Drosophila melanogaster: one gene and its partners. The protein of the gene in region 2 interacts with the protein of the main gene of each other region in a pairwise test. Each region holds a gene or a part of one and is shown on either strand. Other genes may lie near its edges.

Evidence for each region.
Region 1: the proteins of CG5225 (region 2) and CG17777 interact in a two-hybrid assay, tested with the Drosophila melanogaster proteins (one large-scale study listed by BioGRID).
Region 3: the proteins of CG5225 (region 2) and CG31626 interact in a two-hybrid assay, tested with the Drosophila melanogaster proteins (one large-scale study listed by BioGRID).

The regions. Positions count from the first base shown.
Region 1 is NC_004354.4:2,182,729-2,189,727, forward strand, and holds CG17777 (uncharacterized protein), read left to right. Parts: upstream 1-4,126; 5' UTR 4,127-4,200; coding exon 4,201-4,212; intron 4,213-4,419; coding exon 4,420-4,740; 3' UTR 4,741-5,013; downstream 5,014-6,999. Other genes in the region: Nmd3 (Nonsense-mediated mRNA 3), read right to left, coding at 185-821, 882-1,810; CG17776 (uncharacterized protein), read left to right, coding at 2,237-2,449; CG3457 (uncharacterized protein), read left to right, coding at 5,169-5,747.
Region 2 is NT_033777.3:17,026,693-17,033,077, reverse strand, and holds CG5225 (uncharacterized protein), read right to left. Parts: upstream 4,386-6,385; 5' UTR 4,373-4,385; coding exon 4,342-4,372; intron 4,280-4,341; coding exon 3,647-4,279; intron 3,535-3,646; coding exon 2,414-3,534; 3' UTR 2,377-2,413; downstream 1-2,376. Other genes in the region: CG31268 (uncharacterized protein), read right to left, coding at 1-714, 780-1,169, 1,231-1,261; Pxd (peroxidase), read right to left, coding at 5,177-5,282, 5,341-5,446, 5,510-5,879, 5,941-6,097, 6,160-6,385.
Region 3 is NT_033779.5:21,233,410-21,240,621, forward strand, and holds the start of CG31626 (uncharacterized protein), read right to left. Parts: upstream 3,325-7,212; 5' UTR 3,235-3,324; intron 627-3,234; exon of another isoform or gene 494-626; 5' UTR 229-493; coding exon 226-228; exon of another isoform or gene 91-225; coding exon 1-90.

The DNA of each region.
Region 1 (6,999 bases), on a different chromosome or scaffold from region 2:
TATGGAAGCAATCAGTATTCCAAATTTAAGTTACTTTGCAACCTTGGTAACATAAAGGCAAATTAGTTTCAGAGTATTCACACATTAAGCTCTATCCAGTTTCCTAGTTGTTTATATGGATTAAGCGATTATGTACAGGGTATACATGGGTAAAAGAAAGCGTTATGATTAATAAAAAAAAGGACTACAACTGTGGCTCGGTATCGTCAGCACCTCCCTCCTCGCCCATTTCGTCGTCTGCACACTCTAATGTCATATCTTCCAACATCTCCTCCAGTGTGATCTGGGGCACATCACCTCCAGCGGCCTGTACCTCGATTGGTATCGTCTTGTTAGTGTCCCGATAGATGTTGACCTGACCGCGGATATCCTCGTTTTCCTCGAGATCGTCAAGAAACTCGTGGTAGTCGTACTTGCTGCGCTCATCGGTAGCCTCCGCCGCCAGATGCTTAATCTTCCACACGCGCTGACTGAGTCTGGTCTGTCGATCGTAGTGCTTGCGCACAAGAATTACATCCGGAATTTCATCCGACGACAATTTGTCGAACTCCAGATCGTTGATGTTGGCCTCTCCGGTGTTGTAGCCCATTACGGAATCGCCCACCTTGAGCAGGTGGCCCAAGTGGGAGCGTGTGTGAATGGGGTTATCGTTGATGCCCAGCTCCGAGGCGCGCACCACCCAAATGTCGCAGAGAGCGTGCTTGAAGGAAACCTGCCCTTGACCAGGATAGGTCTTTCGATCCTTTTCCATGATCACATCAATGTCCATGACGACGTACTCAACCAGCTGCTTGGGATTGCAGACGGCCTCAAAGGGAGCTCTGAAAAAAGCAATTTAATTGGCTTACTCGAAGATAACCTTTGTCAAATAGGAGTCCCACCTGAAATAGACCTGCGAGGTGAGTTCTGCAATCTGTGCGGTCAGGGGATCAATCAAGTGAATGCTGCTAGACACCCGGTTGACCAGAACCAATGGCGAGAGATTTCCCAGCTGGTGGCGCAGCTTTTTGGACAGGCAAACTGCACTGTCCTTCGATACTGGTGCTATTTCCACTGACCAGTTGTACTTGTAGTTATAGTTGTTGCTGTGGATGTCGTGAGAGATGAGACGCTTCGAGGTTGTTACCTTGCCGGGCACCATGGTCAGGAGGAAATCAACCATGCGCCGGGCATGATTATCATTGGCATAGAAGAAATCCAGGCCGCCATGCTCCGGCTTTATGCCCAGAGTGTTCTCGTGGGCTTTGTGCTTAAGGATCAGCTGTTCCAGATAGTAAAAGGTTTTCTTGTTCTCGGCCCGCTGACGAACCTGCACGAGGCAGCGCCAGAAGTCCTTGGCCTCGGTCCGATGGCAGTCGTTGCACATCTGGTTCTGCACAGTGAACTCCACCACGAATACCTGCTGGAGCATCGTTCCCCCGATGATCTCCCCATGCACAGTCAGCTTCACCTTTATGCGCTTGGAGTGCTGTTCTGTCCAGATGAAGCCGGCATCCACCAACTTCACTTCCTTCAGGCCTTTTAGCTTCTTAAGGCAAATGGCCAAGAGTTCGCGGGACTCCAAGGCGGCCTGTATCCACTCGTTCGGCGGTTGCAGATAGCGCTCGCAATTACGACAGAAGTGGAGCACGGCCTGCTTTGGGATGTTCTCCGTGATGTCGACATGGTTGCGCAGGCAGGTGACGCACATGTTGGCCGGATTCGGCTGGATGGCCACTCCGCACTCGCAGCACAGGATGACGGCGTTCGATCCGGCGCCCTTGCCGTCCGCTGCGCCCAGCGGGCTAACCCCAACGTATTCGTGATCCATGAATCCTCCGGAGGTCTATTCGGTCCAGCTATTTCACAATGGCGTTGTAGAATACGATGAAATATTCCCACGAAGTACACAAATTTGTAAACACGTGCGTATAGGTGTATATCGATTGGCCAGAGATCAGCGATATTATTAATCGGCGATTTAAGTTAAGCCTTTTCCAGCTAGAGTAGCTAAAAGTGAGATTAACGATAAAACGACGTTAAACGAGTGAGACTCAAAGCTAAATGGGACATTTGGAACGATTTCCTAAAATTCACTTAAAAATATAGTACTCATTCGACTGTCTTCATCTTTATTTTGGCTAGTAAATGTACGCCCAATTATCGATACATTCGCCGCCGTCATCACTGACAGACCAGCTGAGGCGACGGACTCGACTGCCGGAAACTTTTATGGACTTGGAAGGGATTTGCCGCCATGCAGAAGAAGCCGATTAACACCAACACGCTGCTGGACAAGCTGCACCGCGGCGCGGTGTATGCCTGCATTGGAGTCACCCTGTACGGCACCTACATCCTGGGAATGCGCTACTACCACTACTGCACGGTCATCCGACCGGAGAAGCAGCAGGCGGAGCTGAAGCTCCTGGACGAGGGAGCCCACGACAAGGCCAAGGAACTGAAGTACTAGGCGCGCCCTCCTCCGCCCCTTTAATTGTTAAATGTCTGTTAAGCGCAATAAACTGTAAGGAAATGTAAGCATTTTCAGCTGAAAACGGCCAACGCCGGTTGTTGTTGTGTAACCTCGGACAGCTGGCCAAAGTGGAGGACCGTCGGCAGGCCCGGTGGGATTGTAAGATTCCAGATTCAAGATCTAACCCTGGAACCAAGCCAACAATGCGCAATTAGCCGTCTGGGCCGTAAATCAAACTGGTCGGCTACAATGGGAAATCAATCAATCGACAGCGACATGGACATCGACCCGTTCGGCGGACTAGACTTAGTCAAGAATTATAATTTAGCTGGCAATCAAATATGTTGTCATCTCCGGATCGTGACCAGGTCCCAGTCCATAGACCAAACCCCTTGGCTGCTTGGTCTTCCGCTTGCCCAACGCGTCTCGCGTGCATTCACCTCCAATGGGCAGAGCATAAATATTAAACGATGTGGATACGAAAACAACCGCGGGGAGAAGGAGACAATGGCGGTGCCACCCACTTTTGGCCAGAGATGGCGAGACGTCGTCGATTGGGAAAATCTTTTGCATGCTTCATTCAACAATGTTGCCTCCGGCGTTGCTTCATTCATGACTTGGGAACTCGGAGCAGCAAAAGCAACAGCCGCAGCAGACTGCAATTGCGATTTGCAATTGCCACTGCGGTCAAGGTCGTCCTTTATTGTGTGGGCACGGCACTGGGTACTGGGTAGCAAGTACCCCCGGCAGACGGAAGTGATCGAGAATAATGGAACGCGCAGAACAGAGTCGTCTGCCCAAATGGCTATCAAATTGTTTTAAAACTTTAGTATATTAAGCAAAAGCTGTGCTCCTCTGAATAGAAGATCTCTTCAACCTAGTTTCAAGCCCATTAAAACTAATGACCATTGACCTGGTCACCGATCCTTGTCCCAATATACCCCTTAAGCCAGAGGTCTCCGTCAAAGTCGTGCACTTTGGATATTCTGTCGATAAGACTTTGCATTGGAAATGATCTGGCAGAGATCTCAGCTGTCTGGCAGCTTAATTAAAATGCCAAAACGCTGCCAAACGTGCAATTGTTTGTAATTTGTGTATAATGCTGGCGCGCATATGCGATTCCCACGGGGCCAGTGGCATCCCAGCATTTGGCCAGCTTCTGAACGAGCTTAGGTAATAGTGCGCCTTTTGGGCGCTGCTGGCCATCCGATCTGGCAGTGAAAGTGTTACACGATATGCATACCGTGTACGAGAGGGGCACTTGGTGATTGTGGAACGCGTCGAGTGTCTCGTGTTGCACGTTGCTTGTGGATCGCGTTGCTGCCCCACTTCGGTTACCCAACGAGCCTGGGATCTTAGAATTTCGACTACGCTGGCAATTATAACCGATATCGTTAGTTTCCACGCCCACTCCACCTCACTCCCCCCACTGCAATCCTCCGCCAAGTTCTCCTCCGCCGGATGAGCGGATGGATGACCTTTTGGCTCCGCAGCATAAACAATATTCGGTTTCAAGTCCTCAACCCGTCATGCATTCAATTCAGCTGCAACAATCGCTGCTGCTGCTGCTGCTGCCGCCGTTATTGTCAGTTTGCATAATTGCAACTGTAGCAGCAACTGGCAACAATAAGCCAAGCCGGGTGACTATAAAAGCGTCGGGCCACTGGCAGCCATCAACAAACCTCGCCTGGCGCCCTACCCATCAAGTCAACCAGCCAACAGCCACTAGCAACATCTGCAGCAGCAACATGAAGTTCTTGGTAAGCAGCAACACCAGGACATTAGGATACCAGGATACCAGGACACCGGTCAAGCAAACGAGTGGACTTTTTTTTGAGTGACAGTTTATCCAACAAAATACAAGTTATTTAAAATTGCTGGAAGTGCTCTGGCTACAATTTGAAACAAATCATTTGTTAACATCGTTTCAAATGTTTCATATACCGAACCTTTTTTTCTCTGTGCAGTGCGTGTTCGTCATCCTGGCCATTTGCTTCATGAGCACCTGGGCAGCAGTTTCGGAGCCTGCTCCTGAAGCTCTGGAGCCGGAGCCATCCGCCGTGGATGAGAAGAAGACGGAGAAGAGAGGCATCTACGGGTTCGGCCACGGCTATGGCGGCTACGGCGGATACGGCGGATACGGTGCCTATGGACACGGTCACTACGGCGGCTACGGTGGACTGAGCAGTCCCTACTACGGCGGCTACGGATACGTCCATGCGGCGCCCTACTACGGCGGACACCACGGCTACTATCCGTACCACCATGGCCACTACGGCTTCTACTAGGACCACTACCTATCCCCAAGATCGTAATGCATACTGTTTTTTTTTTCTCGATCGCTCCATGCTCATCACTGCACCATCATTCGTATATGTATATGTACTGGTTTTCCCCCATCATTCACCGCAATATAAATGTACTGCAAATAGCGAATACATTACTCGCATGTCTTTGAATTTGGGTTGGATGTAGTACAAATATGATATATGTACATATGTAAACAAAGTTAAATCCTACTCAACAATAAAGAATCGATTACATTGCATATGTATGACAGTAAAAGTGATTTTCGGTCACTCTATGGGGGCCAGTGAAGGTATAAAGCCGCTATTGGCCCAGTGACTGTTATACAAAAGTCACTGTTCTAATTGCGATCGGCGCGTGACCACCAGTCTTTCGGATCATCAGCAAAAATCAGGAATTCGACTTCGAGATGCTGAAGCGCGATCTGCAGAAAATCACACTCAAGCTGTCCGATCTCAAGGACTATGAGGTTGCCCGCCAAAAGAACAAGTTAAAGGGCGCCCCGCGACCTAGGCTTTCTCAGGACGCCCTCCCCGGAGACGACGCCTCCACTTCGGGAACAACGGCAAGTTGCAGTTCCAACACGGAAACGGCCACGGAAACCGCATCGGGATCCGGATCAGGGTCTGGATCGGGCTCGGGTTCTGGGTCCGGGTCGTACATTACGGGAATGGGCTACCGTTCGGAGACACCCTCCTCCGCATCGTACACCACGTCGACGACCCCGACTCCGGCCACTCAGGAGGAGATACTGAGACCCTCGTCCGCCGTCACGGCCACCACAACCACTGGCACCACTAATTCCGGCTCCACGGATGACGTGAGCGTGGCGGCCGTAGTGGATGACACGGATACCATTGACGAAATCAGCGATGACAACTGGGTGGACCTGAATGCGGACACCAACGATACCGTTGATACCCAGCCGGAGGAGCAGGACCAACTGCAAGAGGTGGAGGAGGAGGATGGGGCTAGGGGAGGAGTGTAATCCTGACCGCTTATCGCGTTATGAAAACATAGCGCAGCTGCACTCAAAGCCCACCCCCCCCCCCCCCATTTCACATTCCATTTATCATAACAATTTGTATACGTAAACAAGTATAATAACCCATTGCATGCTCCACTTACCTAGCTGCTAATAATAATAGTTTGCAAGGTTATATGTCGCTTATGTCATCTTCAAATCGAAACATATGCATTTTATAGATTTGGTTAACTACGGTAAATGGTTTTGCGGCCTTTTAATCGGGAGGACGTGCGATCGGATTATATCGAGTGGGGAATGCGGGTCCTCCTAATTGGCTCTCCTCAGAAGGAGCTAGGCAAGCGGCAGACGACAACAAGTGGCTTATGGCCACCGGCAACAGGTGGACGCAGTGGAGTGGGCACTAGGGACTGTTGTGGAACGAGATGCTATTCAAGCGCCCAAGGGGTACGTGCAACGTGACTTGAGCCGTACAAAGCGGAGGAGGGGGTGGCCTCCAACGGAGCTGCCTCCACGAAAGCTTCCCTCAAAAGCTGAAAAGCTCGCAGGCATCGGCGCTGCATTCAAAATACGTGGCCATACTGTTTTCGGGCGGCAGGCTGGCCAAAACGGCGGTTTGAACTCAATCCCATCCGATTCGGCTCGGCTCGGCAGTACGGAGCACGGCAAACGGACGACGGAAAGTGGATAGCGGATAGCGGATGGCGGATGGCCGGCCTTCCGCCAATTACGGGTCGCTGGAGTCCACGGCCAAGCGATTGTCAATTAATTACTCGCCTAGGTTCGATATCCAACGGCTTTGGTTACTGTGTTCCGTGGTACAAGTGCCCGTCTCAGCTTCCGCATCCGTGTACCGTGCGCATCGGTATCGGCATCCCAAGCGGCATCGGTGACCGTGACCCAAGGATCGACCGGTAGCATCACGTGCCACGTGCCGGTTCATCAAAAAGTGCAAGGGTAAGTGGCCATGTGCACGGTGATGAGGAAGTTCTGCCCTCCTTCGGACGTAGCAAATACCTCTTACTCCAAGGGGGATCTCTGTCACTTGAAGTAAAGAGGAGGTTTCAGTGCCACGTAACATCTTTGGGCAGAGGCCTACCAAACTAACACCGCAAACGGGCAGGAATTGTAGTGATGGGCTCGTAAATACGTGGGAAACGTTTAACCTTTGAACCCCGTAACCTTTTGTCTGCGTATATTACCCTTTGCCATGCATATTCGGCCACCCAGTTGCACGGTACGCCTCATCCCCCGG
Region 2 (6,385 bases):
TCTCATTTTGAACTGTTGTTGTATGAATCGCATCGGGCGCCTCTTCGGTAATCGTTATTAATTTGTTAAGATCTAGCTTTTCATCTGTTATTTTAATATTATTCGGTAGAGTCGTCTCTTCCAGAATGATACTTTGCAATGTAGTATTAGATATCTGTGAATTTACTTCTTTGTTTAAAGAATTTATTGCAGATACATCGGCTGGTATTGGTATATCATCAATTTGACTACTTTTTACACCAGTTTTAGTTACGTTTTTCGTTTGTTGGGATCCGACGTGGCTGATATTCAAATTCATGCTGTTATTTGCATCAGTCAATATGTTTTTCTCGCCAAGATTGTTGCCCTTCATTTTGTTAACTGACTGACGATCTGAACTGCTTAAATCAGTAGTTGTATTTTTAATTACCTTTCGATTAGGAGTCTGCTTTCGGCGCATTGGAGCGTTTGTTTTGTGTTTTTGGGAATTGGTCACTGTTTGTAAGTTCTTAGTCAAAGTTGTTATCTTGTTACTCTGGTTGATTTTCTGACGATCGAAATGGGCGAAAGTAATTTGACTTTTGCGATTTCGGTTTTTGTGGTTTTGGGCCAGTTGCGGACTAACATTGAGATATTTAATTTCATCGGAATTTGCCCTCAAAAGCTGCGGTGCCCGAGGCTTGTTTGTCTTTTTAATGTCGTTTCTATTATCGGGTGGTGGGTTTTCATTGCTGCCTGTGGGTTTTCCATTTTTGGCGGCTTGTCCGCTGGAATTGCTGGCAAGTAAATAATGGTTGTACCTTGTTTCTGTTCATGCGATGAAGATTTGCCAGGGCGGCCTGGTGGTCCAGGTAGTCCTGGTGGACCAATTGGTCCCGGAAATCCAGTTTTACCCGGCCTACCCCTTTGACCACTTTCTCCACGGTCACCACGATCCCCCTTTTCTCCTGGCGCTCCTTCTACACCTGGCAGACCAGGAATTCCTGGTGGCCCAGGAGGTCCTGGCGGGCCTGGGCGACATTGGCAATTGGGTTGAAAGCCGTAGTAAAAGGAAGAATCTATCGCTTCAGGACTGTAATAGTACAGATTGTTGTTATTATGAGCTGGTTTCTTTGTCTTTGGCCGCGATTCTACTTCAACCGGCTTGACTGGGGAAAGCAGCCATGATCCCTCGCAAAATGCTGAGATGGCTAAAATGCAAGAATCAGGTAAAGTAATGTTCTAAGGTTCTATCTTCTTAACTCGGCTTACCTATGAACAGCAGAACCGTGAGCAGCTTCATTTCAAGACGTCTCATTCGTGAATGAACACCTGCTCGTCTTAGATCATCTCTTATATAGACCTTAAGAACAGTTGGTCTAGACTTTAATGGGTTAATGCGAAACACGTAAAATGTAAATCGCAAATCTCAGATCTCATCAGCCTAATGATTTCGCATAAATTTAACCGAAGATTGGTCCAGATACACACGCATGGAATTCGATGAGGCTCAAGAAAAATGATTTATTCCATTTTGTCGATGTGCTAATACTATTATTAAATTGATTACCACAATTAGGGCTTAAATGTTTGGTTATTATTTAAGAATTAAAATGTATATTATGGCACAAGTTTTATTAACTTTCTTTAGTTATTTATTTGGTTCCATGTCGGCATTGATTGTTCCATTTCAGCCCCCATTGTTTTATTTACGGGGCAATAAAATAAGAATACCGCAAAAATGGGACGATCTGACTTATCTTCTTCATTATCGTTATCATACAAATTGCTTTTAAATAGTGAAATTTAATATGACGTTCAAAATTCTTCAAGACTTTAAGGCATTGGATCAACGTGACGCACGCATGCTTTAAAAAGTCGTACAAAACTAATTTATGGACAAAGAAATTTATTAATGAATTTAATCAACCTAATACCTGAAAACATTTGAACTTATTAATTTCATATCTGCCAAAAGTTAAATACATATATTACAAACAATTTTACTTGCCTAGCTGATAAGATTCAACAATTTACCATTGTATTTTGATAAATGATTTGAGTTGGCAATTTCATTCGATTGTCATTGAATTAATAGCTTATTTCAATATGATTTCACTTTTTTCATATCTTTGTCCATTGTTATTTTATAGAAAATCTAACAAAGCCGCAGACATTTCCAAGAACAACGGAACTATTTTGACAGCTAACAATAACGCAGTTTATTGTTTATACATTTAAATTTTTTGCTATACGAATTCTGCGAGATGATCTTATTAATACGGAAATCTACAGAGGTTCACTGCTTTTGTTTATTATTAAACATTTAAATTTTATTAACTGTATCAAAATCTCTAAATGAAACCCAAAAAGTAGTATTTTTAAATTGTTAGAAAACCCATAAAAGACTCATATTTTAATGTTATTTTTTTATTTTCTCGTGGTGTTGGCTTATTTATATATTATACTGTTCATAGGCGTAAATGTGAAAGGGATTTCGAGGAGTTCCAATTGACAGGATAATCGGACCTTTGTTGGTTCGCTCCTCAATTGCATCTCCATCCATAGGTGCGTTATCCTCCATCATATTCACTGGGTCCATCTGGTCCTCCATCATATGGTCCTCTTCCATCGCATCATCTCCTTCTGGTACCATATAGCTTGAATCCTCATCATCGATTTCTTCAGCGCCACTCGGAGATTCGGGATTCTCCACTGTGTTATCTGCATATTCAAGGCCGTAGTCCGCATCCTCGGGTTCCGTCTCCAAGTCATTGGGCTCATTGGACATTTCCTCCTCGCCCTCCATGAAATTATTTTCGTTATCATTTTCATCAATTATGTTTTCGACAATCTCCACATTTTCATCTAGCAAGTCCAGATCATCCCGTGGAGTTTGCTCGCCACTACCCTCTGGCTTAGTGGGTTTTGGTTGATGATGATGGGGGTGCTGGTGGTGTGAAGTTTGGCTGTGTCCTCCATTTCCGTGTGTACCAGTGTGGGGGTGTGTATTATGTGGGTCCTGCCCTCCGTGATTGTGTGAGGGATGATGGTGGCCATGTCCTCCGTGATTGTGAGGGGGATGATTATGGTTGTGCTCTCCATTGTGAGGTGGATGATGGTTGTTGTGTCCCCCGTGATTGTGCCCTCCGTGATTGTGGGGTGGATAATGGTGATAACCCTTGTCTCCGCCATCATGTGGATGGTGAGGTGGATATGGTGGCGGATAGGGGCCTGGATAATTGTGGCCTGGATGGTGATGGCCTCCATGGCCACCGTGGGGTGGATACGGATAGTAGCCTCCCTTATCGTGTCCTGGTGGATAATAGTGATGGTGGTGTCCGCCCTTGTCTCCCTTATGACCTCCTTTGTGACCTTTATCCCCCTTATGTCCCTTTGAGGGCCAGGGCACTGGCACTGGCAGAGGAATCCATGGTCCCGGATAAGGACCAGGTGGTGGATACGGGTACGGTGGGTATGGGTACGATGGTGGTGGAGGTGGCGGTGGTGGTGGTGGTGGTGGGGGTTGTGGATACGTAGTGCCTGGAGGTCCTGGAGGACCCGGTGGTCCCGTTCCTGCAAGAGATTAAATACTCAGTAAAATTTTGGAAAATGACTTATAATATATCCTTTCAATATTTTCACTGTTAGAGCGTTGTGATATATATGAGTAACGATTTTCTCTTACCTGGTGGGCCTGGAGGTCCGGGTGGACCTTTGGATCCCTTGTGGTGATGATGGTGACCATGTTCACCTTTCTGCGGTGGCAATGGTATGGGAACTATAATTGGTGGCGTCACGATCGGCGGGTGGGGATGATGTGAATGCGGGTGTGAGTGTGGTGGTGGTGGTGGTGGAGGCGGCGGAGGCGGAGGTGGAGGTGGTGGCGGTGGCGCTGGATGATGATGGTGGTGATCATGATGATCATGGTGACCATGTCCCGACTTGTGACCGGGTGGGCCTGGTAGTCCCGGTGGACCAATAGGTCCCGGTTCACCTGGTTGGCCTGGTAGTCCGTAGTGACCGCGTTCTCCCTTCTCTCCTCGCTCGCCCTTGGACCCAGTGTGTCCCTTGGGACCTTGCGGACCAGGCGTTCCTGGTAAGCCCGGCGGTCCAGGAGGCCCCGGTGGACCTGGCGGGCAATTGCAGTGCTGTGGCGGAGGCGGAGGCGGCGGCGGTGGTGGCGGATAGTAGTGCTGTGGTGGCAGCTTGTAGATCACACTTTGTGCTGGCGCCGGAGCCGGAGCAGCTTGTAGAGATGCTATCAGTCTGCCCGTCTCGGCACTCGGGTTCTTGGAATTCGCTAGGCCAAAGGCCCAGCCTGGAAAGGAAATGAATCCCAATTAGAAATCAGATCCATCCTATTTGAATCATATTCCTTACCTATCCAAAAAATCACTGCGAACAGCCTCATGGCGAAATGGTATCTGCTGCCTTTCTCCGGCGGACGGATCACTTTTATACCGCATTATGAACTCTTAATCTTGTATGCACACTTTGTTTAAATCACTTTCATTAATCTAGATTCACTAGAACCGTTATATCATGTCCATTCAGAAATCTGCTTGCCAAATCTCTCGGAAAATATGCAAACCTGTTCGCGATGATGCTATCATCCTGGGTTCTCTCTAAACTTATATATGTAAATTTATGTCCAATCCAAAAGTGAACCGCCTCTGAAGTATTAATATGTTAACTTCCATTTGAAAACAGAAGACATATGCAAAAAAGAACACATTCTCTGTTGCCGATTGTTTCGCTTTACGATTCGAATGAACCATGACTTAAAAATGGCAGAAAAAAGAGTTTTGTCTCTTAATTGGCCGTTTCTATCAACTTGTTCACACCTCGGTCGCGCGTCTCCATATGATTAACCCCGATGAATCGGAGCTATCCCAAAGTCAACGAAAGTGTAAAGGTTTTCGGACCCGGCATTTCTTTATCCGGGCCTATTGCATAAGAAGGGGTCGGGTCTGGATGGCATTGGGATTTGCCCTTGACTTCTTTTCATTTCCGTGAAATCTTACAAACATTATCAGGTCACTGAAAGTAAAGCTGATTGTTTAAATGGTAAGGGCTTTATTTCTGTACATCAGTTTGGGACATTATCATACAAGGGGGGGGGGGGGGGGAGGGGCTTTGCATTTACGTTTATGTTATTGATTAAGCTAAATGTATTTGTATTCAACTAGTTAAGCATAGATCCCACAGCAGCGGATTACTTCTTTCCGTAGTGAGACGGATCTACAGTGGCATATAGCTTTTGATCAATCCATTTGGTGAGGTCGACTTGTGGAATATTTGAGCACGGTATAATCGGATTCCTGTAATTTCAGAGCTCAGTTACTTTCCAAATAACCAATTTAATCAATTTAAACTTACGAATGGGAAACAGTCCGGAAAGCTTCGGGCTGCATGGATGAAATGTGGTTGCCATTGTCGCACAGCAAACGAGCCATACTGGCCTTCCTCAGCTCCTCCAGTTGATCTACGAAATTAGACATAAATAAATTAATATTTAAAATAGTCAGAGGAGAAATGTTCTTTTTACCAGGAGTAAATCCAGTGAGCTTGTCTCCGTTTTCGAAGAAGAAGCGATCGCCCACTCTGGTTCTGTAGAATTGTTCCGTGAGGATACACAGGAAGGTGGGTCCAGCCAAAGCTCCGGCCACATGCGCCTCCAAGGAGGCGCCCACAGTCAGATCCACGTCTTCGTGGCTCGGGTATAGCGACTTAAGTTTTTCCAGAATTGGTGGACTTATTAGATCACCGTATCCCTCCCACGAGTGGGCACGTCTCAGTCCGCAGAATTCCCGCATGTCATTGTAGGAAGCCAGACCGTGATCGCGATTACGCTGAATGTCCAGGGAACGCAGATCGGAACCGAAGGGCATGTTTCTTCTGAACAGGAAGTGCTTGATCTAAGCCAGGAAAGGTTGAGAGGTTAGAAAGGTGGTCTCATTTTGTTATTTGTGTACCCACCTGTCGGTCAAAATTGATATCAGTTAGCTCTTCGGGCTGCGTGGCGTGTCCTCTGGTCAGGGAATCAAAGTTATCTCCAACCTCAATAATACCGGGACGATTGAACCAGTCGCTGAGGGTCAGAGAGCCGAGAACTTGACGCAGCTCGGACAGTAGACTGCACAAAAATTTTAAAATTAATAAAATGTTCTTAACTCATAATAGTAAATAGGCACTTACTCCAAACGACCTTCAATCTGGGAATGGAAGTATCTGAAAGCGGCCGTCGCGTGCTCATTCAGCACCGATGGATCAATGTTGGGATCGAAATCGTTGATATAGCTTCCGGATGGAGCCTTGTAGATCAGCCGGTTCTTCAGCATGTTCTCGCCACCCAAGAAGATGGGCAGCCATTCGTAGTAACTGATCTGCTGATACTGGGCAATGTTGATCTTTCGCGCCTCCT
Region 3 (7,212 bases), on a different chromosome or scaffold from region 2:
CTTGTTGTAGCTATAACCACTGCCCAGGTTAAGGTGGGAAACATCGGCGGAGGCCAAGGCGATGGCGCACACAGCGAAGACGAAGAGTTTCTAAAATAAGCGGAAATTTAAGGGTCAAGTGAGCGATCGGGATCCCCGACATCTTGACGGTTGGCCAAGGCGAGCGGTTGAGCAAGGCCAACGGCTTTCTTGATCGAAGTTGTGACCAGTGGACAGTTTACTCACCATTGTTATTGATTTGTTGGTCGGGCTTTTAAAGTTCGTTGGATTTGCTTTGGCAAGCTCTTGTCGCAAGACGCTCAAGCTGAATGATGTCGAACTGCAGATGGGCCCGCACTTTTATACCAAAAGCCATGCTTAACTTGGTCTGGCCCATTATTATTGCTGGATATCCGTCTTCGCGTCTTCGGTGTGGGCCTGGCGCTTCTTCTAGTCGAAGAAAAGGTAGACAGTTAAGAAGAGAGCGGAGCAGTGATCATTAACCCAGAGGCGGCTGTTGGGCGATCAAAACGAAACAAAGATATATTTATTTTATTTTTCCCTTTGATCTTACGTATTAACATTAAGAAACGTTAATTTTCAAGTTTTGAATATGGTTTAGGGAGAATTAAAAAAAAAAAAACTATAATATTCGCCTTGTTTAATACATGATTAAGTCGTTAATTAATTAAACTACATTAAATTCTACTTAAAGGTTATTTGCTTAGGGTATTTTAGTTTCTTAAAGCAAAAGTTGAGATCTGTTATTTTTTTTTAAATTATTTGGACCAAGCATTCATATGGGAGCACACTTTTTATAATTAACTGACAGCTCTAACAAAGAAACCACACCCAGATGCATAGAAAAACAAGGGGAGTTTTCGATATATTGGAAAACTGTTCATGCTAATACAGTAAAATGTATTATCACAAGAAACCCAACCCGAGCAGACCAACTGCCCGGGCAGTCTTCGATGCAATTTTTTAGTGCCCAGCGCGGGGTTAAGACCGTGACAGTTCGCCGGCAGCCGCTCGTTGATATCGGGGGATTTGGACGGGTTTGGCAATGTCAATAGGGCAGCTTGGCCGCGAGACTCCGCCGACGAGCGGCCACGGGACACGCCAACACTCATTTGCATGCGAGGCAGCTGGCCACGAAGCGATTAAAGGGCCTCTGCCGGCTAATGTCAAAGGTCAACTGATATGCGTTCGCCGGTGCAGTTAGCGGAAATCAGTTTGTTTAACTATTAGCCGGTGCTAATGACCAAACTACATGCTCGACCAAGCGCTCAAGGATTACCAGCTTGGCGTTAGCCTCAGAAAACTTGTAAATACGGACACACACCTATATACGTATATACACACATATGTGGGGTTATTATTTTGAATATTAAATGGGACTTACCCCACTTATGGGTCGAGTGGAAACCACCCAAGCTGAAGCTGAATCTGATTGGGCATTATAAGGGCATTTTTGCCCAATCGTGAGACAACATTTTTCGGGACTGTGACACCTCACTGTTTTGTAAACAGCCTCTAAAGCGTTTAATAGCTATTGTCCCCTATAGTTACGAAAATATGATTCCTACATTTTGATTGATAACTGGGCTCAGAAAAGTACCCATATACTTAAACGTAACTAACTTTTAGAAATACGTACACAAAGACAACGTTCCAAAAATATTTAAACATTTTGAAACATTTTTCGCTTGCGATCGACCCTCACCCGGCGCTCTGCTTATTGATATATTACTAATCGCAGACTCGCATATGGTTTAATTTCCAATGCAAAAATGCTGCATTTGAAAGCATCTGTCACTTAAGCGAAACCTATTCATGAGGCATCGCGAATTTGCTTAGCCTACTTTAAACCACCAGTGTCATATTTTTTTGTTACAGAAAAAGAAGGAGCCGCAAATGGTAAATAAAACAGGCGTAATCCGTTTTAATAATTCCAATTTTAAAAAATTCACACAGCAACCACGATTCGAAATGAGAAACGTGGCTTGGCTTGTCTTGCACAAAAATGTATTTTCGTCGATATTTTCTGCCCGCGGTCTCACTTAATTAACCAATTAGCTAACCACATCCAAAGACATTTAAATGGAGAATACCCATATTATGCACGGCAAACATATGCCAATGTGGATCGTAGTCGATCCGAGTCAAGAATGTTTTCTTCATCTAAAAATGCGTGAAAATACAATATAACATATGGATTGAAGACTTAGCATTAGCATATATGCGCAATTTATCAATTTAAATATTACGCAATAAATAATGTAAATGCAGTGGCCGACCAAAGCTCAATATCTCTGACACTAATAAGTTGTATCTACCGAAAACTAAAGCTAAGCTTAAATGAGAGCTTTGGGGTCGTCTATTAATGTCTTTATAGGCGGCTATACACGACCAATTCCATTGTATGTCACTTGAACTTGCTTCAATATCTGATTGCCTCTGATTTCGCAACCACTCCGTAGTATACATATGTATGTACATTTATCTAGAATTCAGTAATAAAGGAGTGTTTCACAGTTTAGACTACAGACAAGTCAGTGCTATTGGGATGGACAACACCATTTAGATCAGAGCTTGTCCACCAGATACCCATCACACATACCCATTCATAGCAGTGTCAGCTTGATGGACATGGTTAGTGAAACACGAGTACTAATATGTTCTAAGGAACTCATTGCAAATCCAGTAATATTTATTAGGATGGAATTTATAAAATAACATTACAAACTAATTTAAGTTGTTTCGTTCAAAATATACACACATGTCTGACGATATATAAGAAATCGTTTATTATACCTGTTACAATTCATCCGATAAAATGTCTAACAGATATAAAATATATTCTTATTAAGCCGAGTCGATGCTCAACCTTTCTAGCTTTTATAGTTCCTGATATCTCGACGTTCATATGGACAGACGGACATGACCAGTTCGACTCCGCTATTTATCCTGATCAAGAATATATACTTAATATGGCCGGAAACGCTTCCTTCTGCCTATTACATACTTTTCAACGAATCTAGTAAACCCTATTACTCTACGAGTAACGGGTATAAAAACAATTAGCTTATGTATTAATAAGCGTGTTTCGTTTAGGATAAAACGATACGATATTACCAAACGTGGTGATTTAAATTTCCCGTGTGGAAAATCTAATCTGAGACAAAATATTCCAATTCTCTTATTTATGTGTGTTTATATTGTTTAATTTGTATTATGAGTAACAATATTTACATAATTAATACAACTGTTATTTAATTATAGAACAAATTGAAAACACTTCTTGAAGAATGTGGGTAATTAGTTATTTCCTAGAGGTCATCTAAAACTGTTATTATAAATTATCGACTACTTTGAAACAATTTGAACTAAGTATTATCATAGACTTAAACCACTAACAAAAGTTGATCGCTTTTATCAGTCTGGAATTAAATTATTTTACAAGTGGGCTCCATAATAGCAATCTACTATCGATAAAGTGCGAACGAATTCGAACTATTCTTTCCCGGTTAACGAATACAAAAAACTCGAATAGCGTCGGCGTATTTTCTCTGGATGAAAATTTTTTGTGAAACTTCCTATTTGATCTGACTTCGGACTATCAGGAAAAAGTAAAAAGGTTTATTGGTAAATGAGCGACAATTTAAAAAATAATGAAAATATAAAAGACCATTACGTCGTAAGACCACCGTTCCAAATTCACTAGTAACCCACCGTCGCTGCCTTGACGTATTTTGTCCCGCTATCAGATCTGTGTTCGTAAAGTGGCAGTGTGCAGCAACAGCTCGCAGAAAGGTGGCAACGCTCGCTAACAGACCGAGAGCTCCACTAACAAAACAAACATTTTGCTACTTCGTCGCAGGCGGGACTGTGTTGCGTCGTGTGATCGCTAGAGCGGTTGTGGAATCGGATTCGAGCGCAAAACACCGTTCATGCTGTGAGCGAAAAAGAGTGGTAGCGCCTACAGTGGCATATGTAGTTAAATCCGTGAATAAGTGAATAAGAATATATGTATGTACTTAATTCGAAAACCTTTTCGCCGTCAGCACAACGGGTGAACGAGAGAGCGGAAGTGGAGTTTTTTGTGGCGGGTCGTCTCGCTCGCACCGCAAAGGTCGTCCGTGGCTGCGTGTATGGGTGTGTGGAAGAGGCGTCGAGGTGAATGTGGATTTCTAACCACACCAGCATTGCAAAGACATTGATTGATATTTAAAGCTGCAGCAGCGAACCAAAGCAAATCCTAATTTCGGCAAAGTTTAAGAATAACGAGTGACTGGGGCGCGCGCAATAAGATAAAATTGAAGGTTATTCTGTGTGCGTGTGAGTGACCCGTTTACCAGTGTGTGTGTGCGAGCGTTCCATTGTAAACAAAAAAGCAAGTGTTGTGAGCGGAGAGAAGAAAGGGAAAGAGAGAAAGAGCGAACAGACTGGCGAGAGAAAAAAGAGATTGCGCACGAAGAAAGCAGCGCACAAAGCGAACGCTGAAAATGTCAATAAACTCTGCGAAAGGTGAGGAAAACGCAACAAGAGCGCCGCAGTCGTGTAAAATAAAACCCAAGACTCAAAGAAAGCAGTAGAAAGAGGCAAGTGCAAGAGCAGAACTTGTGCGTGTGAGTGCTGGTGTAGTGTGTGTGGGAGAGAAGAGTTCGAGTGTTTGTTCTGATTGGACAGAGTGTGCAGAAAAGTTTTTCTGGTTTCGATTCGCTTGCAACAGTTTCCGCGTTTTCAGCTCCAACAAGTTTCGTCGATTTTTCGCGTCTGCATTTTGTTTATTTTATTGTGAATTCGTTGACTTGCTTGCTCGCTCGTTAACCCATACAAGTGCGCCCGCCGCGACGCTGGATGAGTAATTTACCGTTATTAATTCACAGGTGAAAAATCCGATATTTGTCGTGCAATAATTTCCTCGATTGGCATCAAGTGGCTTCCAGTCGGGTACATATTGCACAAGAAATGTTATACGCATAATGTGCACGCAAATTAAACGAATTCTCTATGAAAATGTGACTAGAATGTGAGTCGAACAAAACGAGTAAAACGTGAAATCCCAACTGGCTTTTGGGTAACAAATCTTATCAACACAGCAACGGAAATACATTAAAATCTTGATAGACTGAGAAAGGGACAATTGGAATACTTTTAGTTATTTTTAAATGGTAAGATAATCTCCTTTCCTTAAAAACAAAATGTTCCCATAATTTTTTAGGTATTTTAAAATGGTAAGATGATCTCATTTCCTTAAAAACAAAATGTTCCCATAATTGATGTCCATGATGTCCATCCCATAACTTGATGTGATTTCAAAAGGAACATCGTGAAAACTGGGCGAATCGTATAAACCATATGCTTTCATTTCATTTGTATTTAAGGACAACAATATAGGGGCTGTAAAAATTACCATTTTTTAAGTGATTTAATATTCCTTTGTCCTTTAAATTTAAAGATCCAAGAGGCCCAATTCAAGCGCTATATTTTCTTATCCCCTTCCACAGAGTCAAAGTAGGCTTTTCGAATCCCTGAAATCAAAACAAAATTATTAACACATCGGGAAGTCAGTGTCGTCTGGCGGACTGTCTGGCCGGGCGACTCCCAATTCATAAGCAGTGAAATGTAACGGCGCCGTTGAGTACTTGAACTACTTTCATGTGGCAGAGGCTTTATGACCCGAACTTGGCTGGCTCATTACATTGACATTCAACTCTACCGAGCTCTGAAAGCGCAAAAAGGACGCCATAAAGGCTTTAATTAAACATGTGTTATGTTCGGTTCTAGAAAACTTAAAGCTTTCCGAATTGACTCTGTATAGATTCGCTTGTCTTTATTGTTCGATCATCGTTACACGTTATATTTTTCTCGGTGCAGCCGCCGGAAATTGTTTCGACAACGAAACAGAGACGGTCTCGATCAGGGAGAATAAGAGGGTGGGAAGGCACTGCATGTCTGAATAGTACGGCCAAGGCACGTTTTGAACTCTACCTCTACCACACATTTCTTGGGCCAAGTCTTTAGCTCTTTCTGCTTTCGCGTGGTGCTTGACCCAGAAAAATCGAAGAATCGCCAATTCTGCGGCTGACAACGCTGCTGATGAGGCTGCGGCTGGGCCAAGTCTTGTGCTTTCGAGGAGCCGCAGAAGGGGCTGTCTCATAAACCATTTTAAATGTCGGGCTCATTATTATTTTGACTGCGTCGCTTGCGGTTTTTGTGTCTATCAGCCGTTCTTACCGTGCCTTCTTACCGTTCAACTCTTCTCATTTCGTAAGCTGGGATTCAGTCTGTCCGAAGGTTGACCGCGAGTTTGGAAGTTGATTGGCTCCGGATTATACATTGCGGACGCTGGTTTATGTTCTTGAACTCCTTTTAAATGTGCGCGGCCTCAAAGGTTAATTTACAGCTTTCGGGGTCATAACTCTGGCTAAAGGCGGTCGATTCTGCCGTCGAGACGCGGTTACAAGAACTGGCAACTGATGTAGGGATTTGCCCATGCTTACAAACGCAATGAGTGGAAGAAGGCAATAAATTATCGGGCTTGAGTGGTAAGCCTGGTCTCCAATTCTGCAAAAAAAAATTTTGCTTCTGGTAACTCTTTTTGTGCATGCAGATATTTATATTAACCCGACCCATACGCCTTAATATCTGTAACTTGTAAAGTCTTTGAGATTTGCCCATTCGGTGATGTATTTCTCGTTCGTCAGTTGGCTGCCAGCTGTTAACCGGTTTTCGAATATGCCTTCGGGTGTTCCAACCGCCTTGATACCCACTTCGGCCATCCGTGCCTCTCCCTCGGCAGTGCACCACCCACTCTTGCAATACATAAGTTGATACATGCTGTTTCTCTCCCTGGCTTTGACTCTGGCTGCTAATTAGCAGTTAACAATTGCAGCATTGACCTCCTCACCACAATTCTTCTCCTATTCTAGCAGGCAAACTGCGAAAGTAGCGAGAACGGGTTTGCTTTGTTCCATTGTCTATGGTAAAAAATACAACTGAAAGATACAACATGGCAGCAGGTTTACCTTGTTGTAACCTCGCCAAGAACTCCGGGGAAAAAAAGCTTGAAAAAATATATGCATTCCACTCTTTCTAAACCGAAGAGAACAAGACAACACACAAATATAATTGCTTGTCGTTTTTACAATTTACAATTTTAATAATTATTTAGTAGTTATTCAATTAACTACCGGCAACAAGGTTCGGTTTGGAGTGCATGCATAG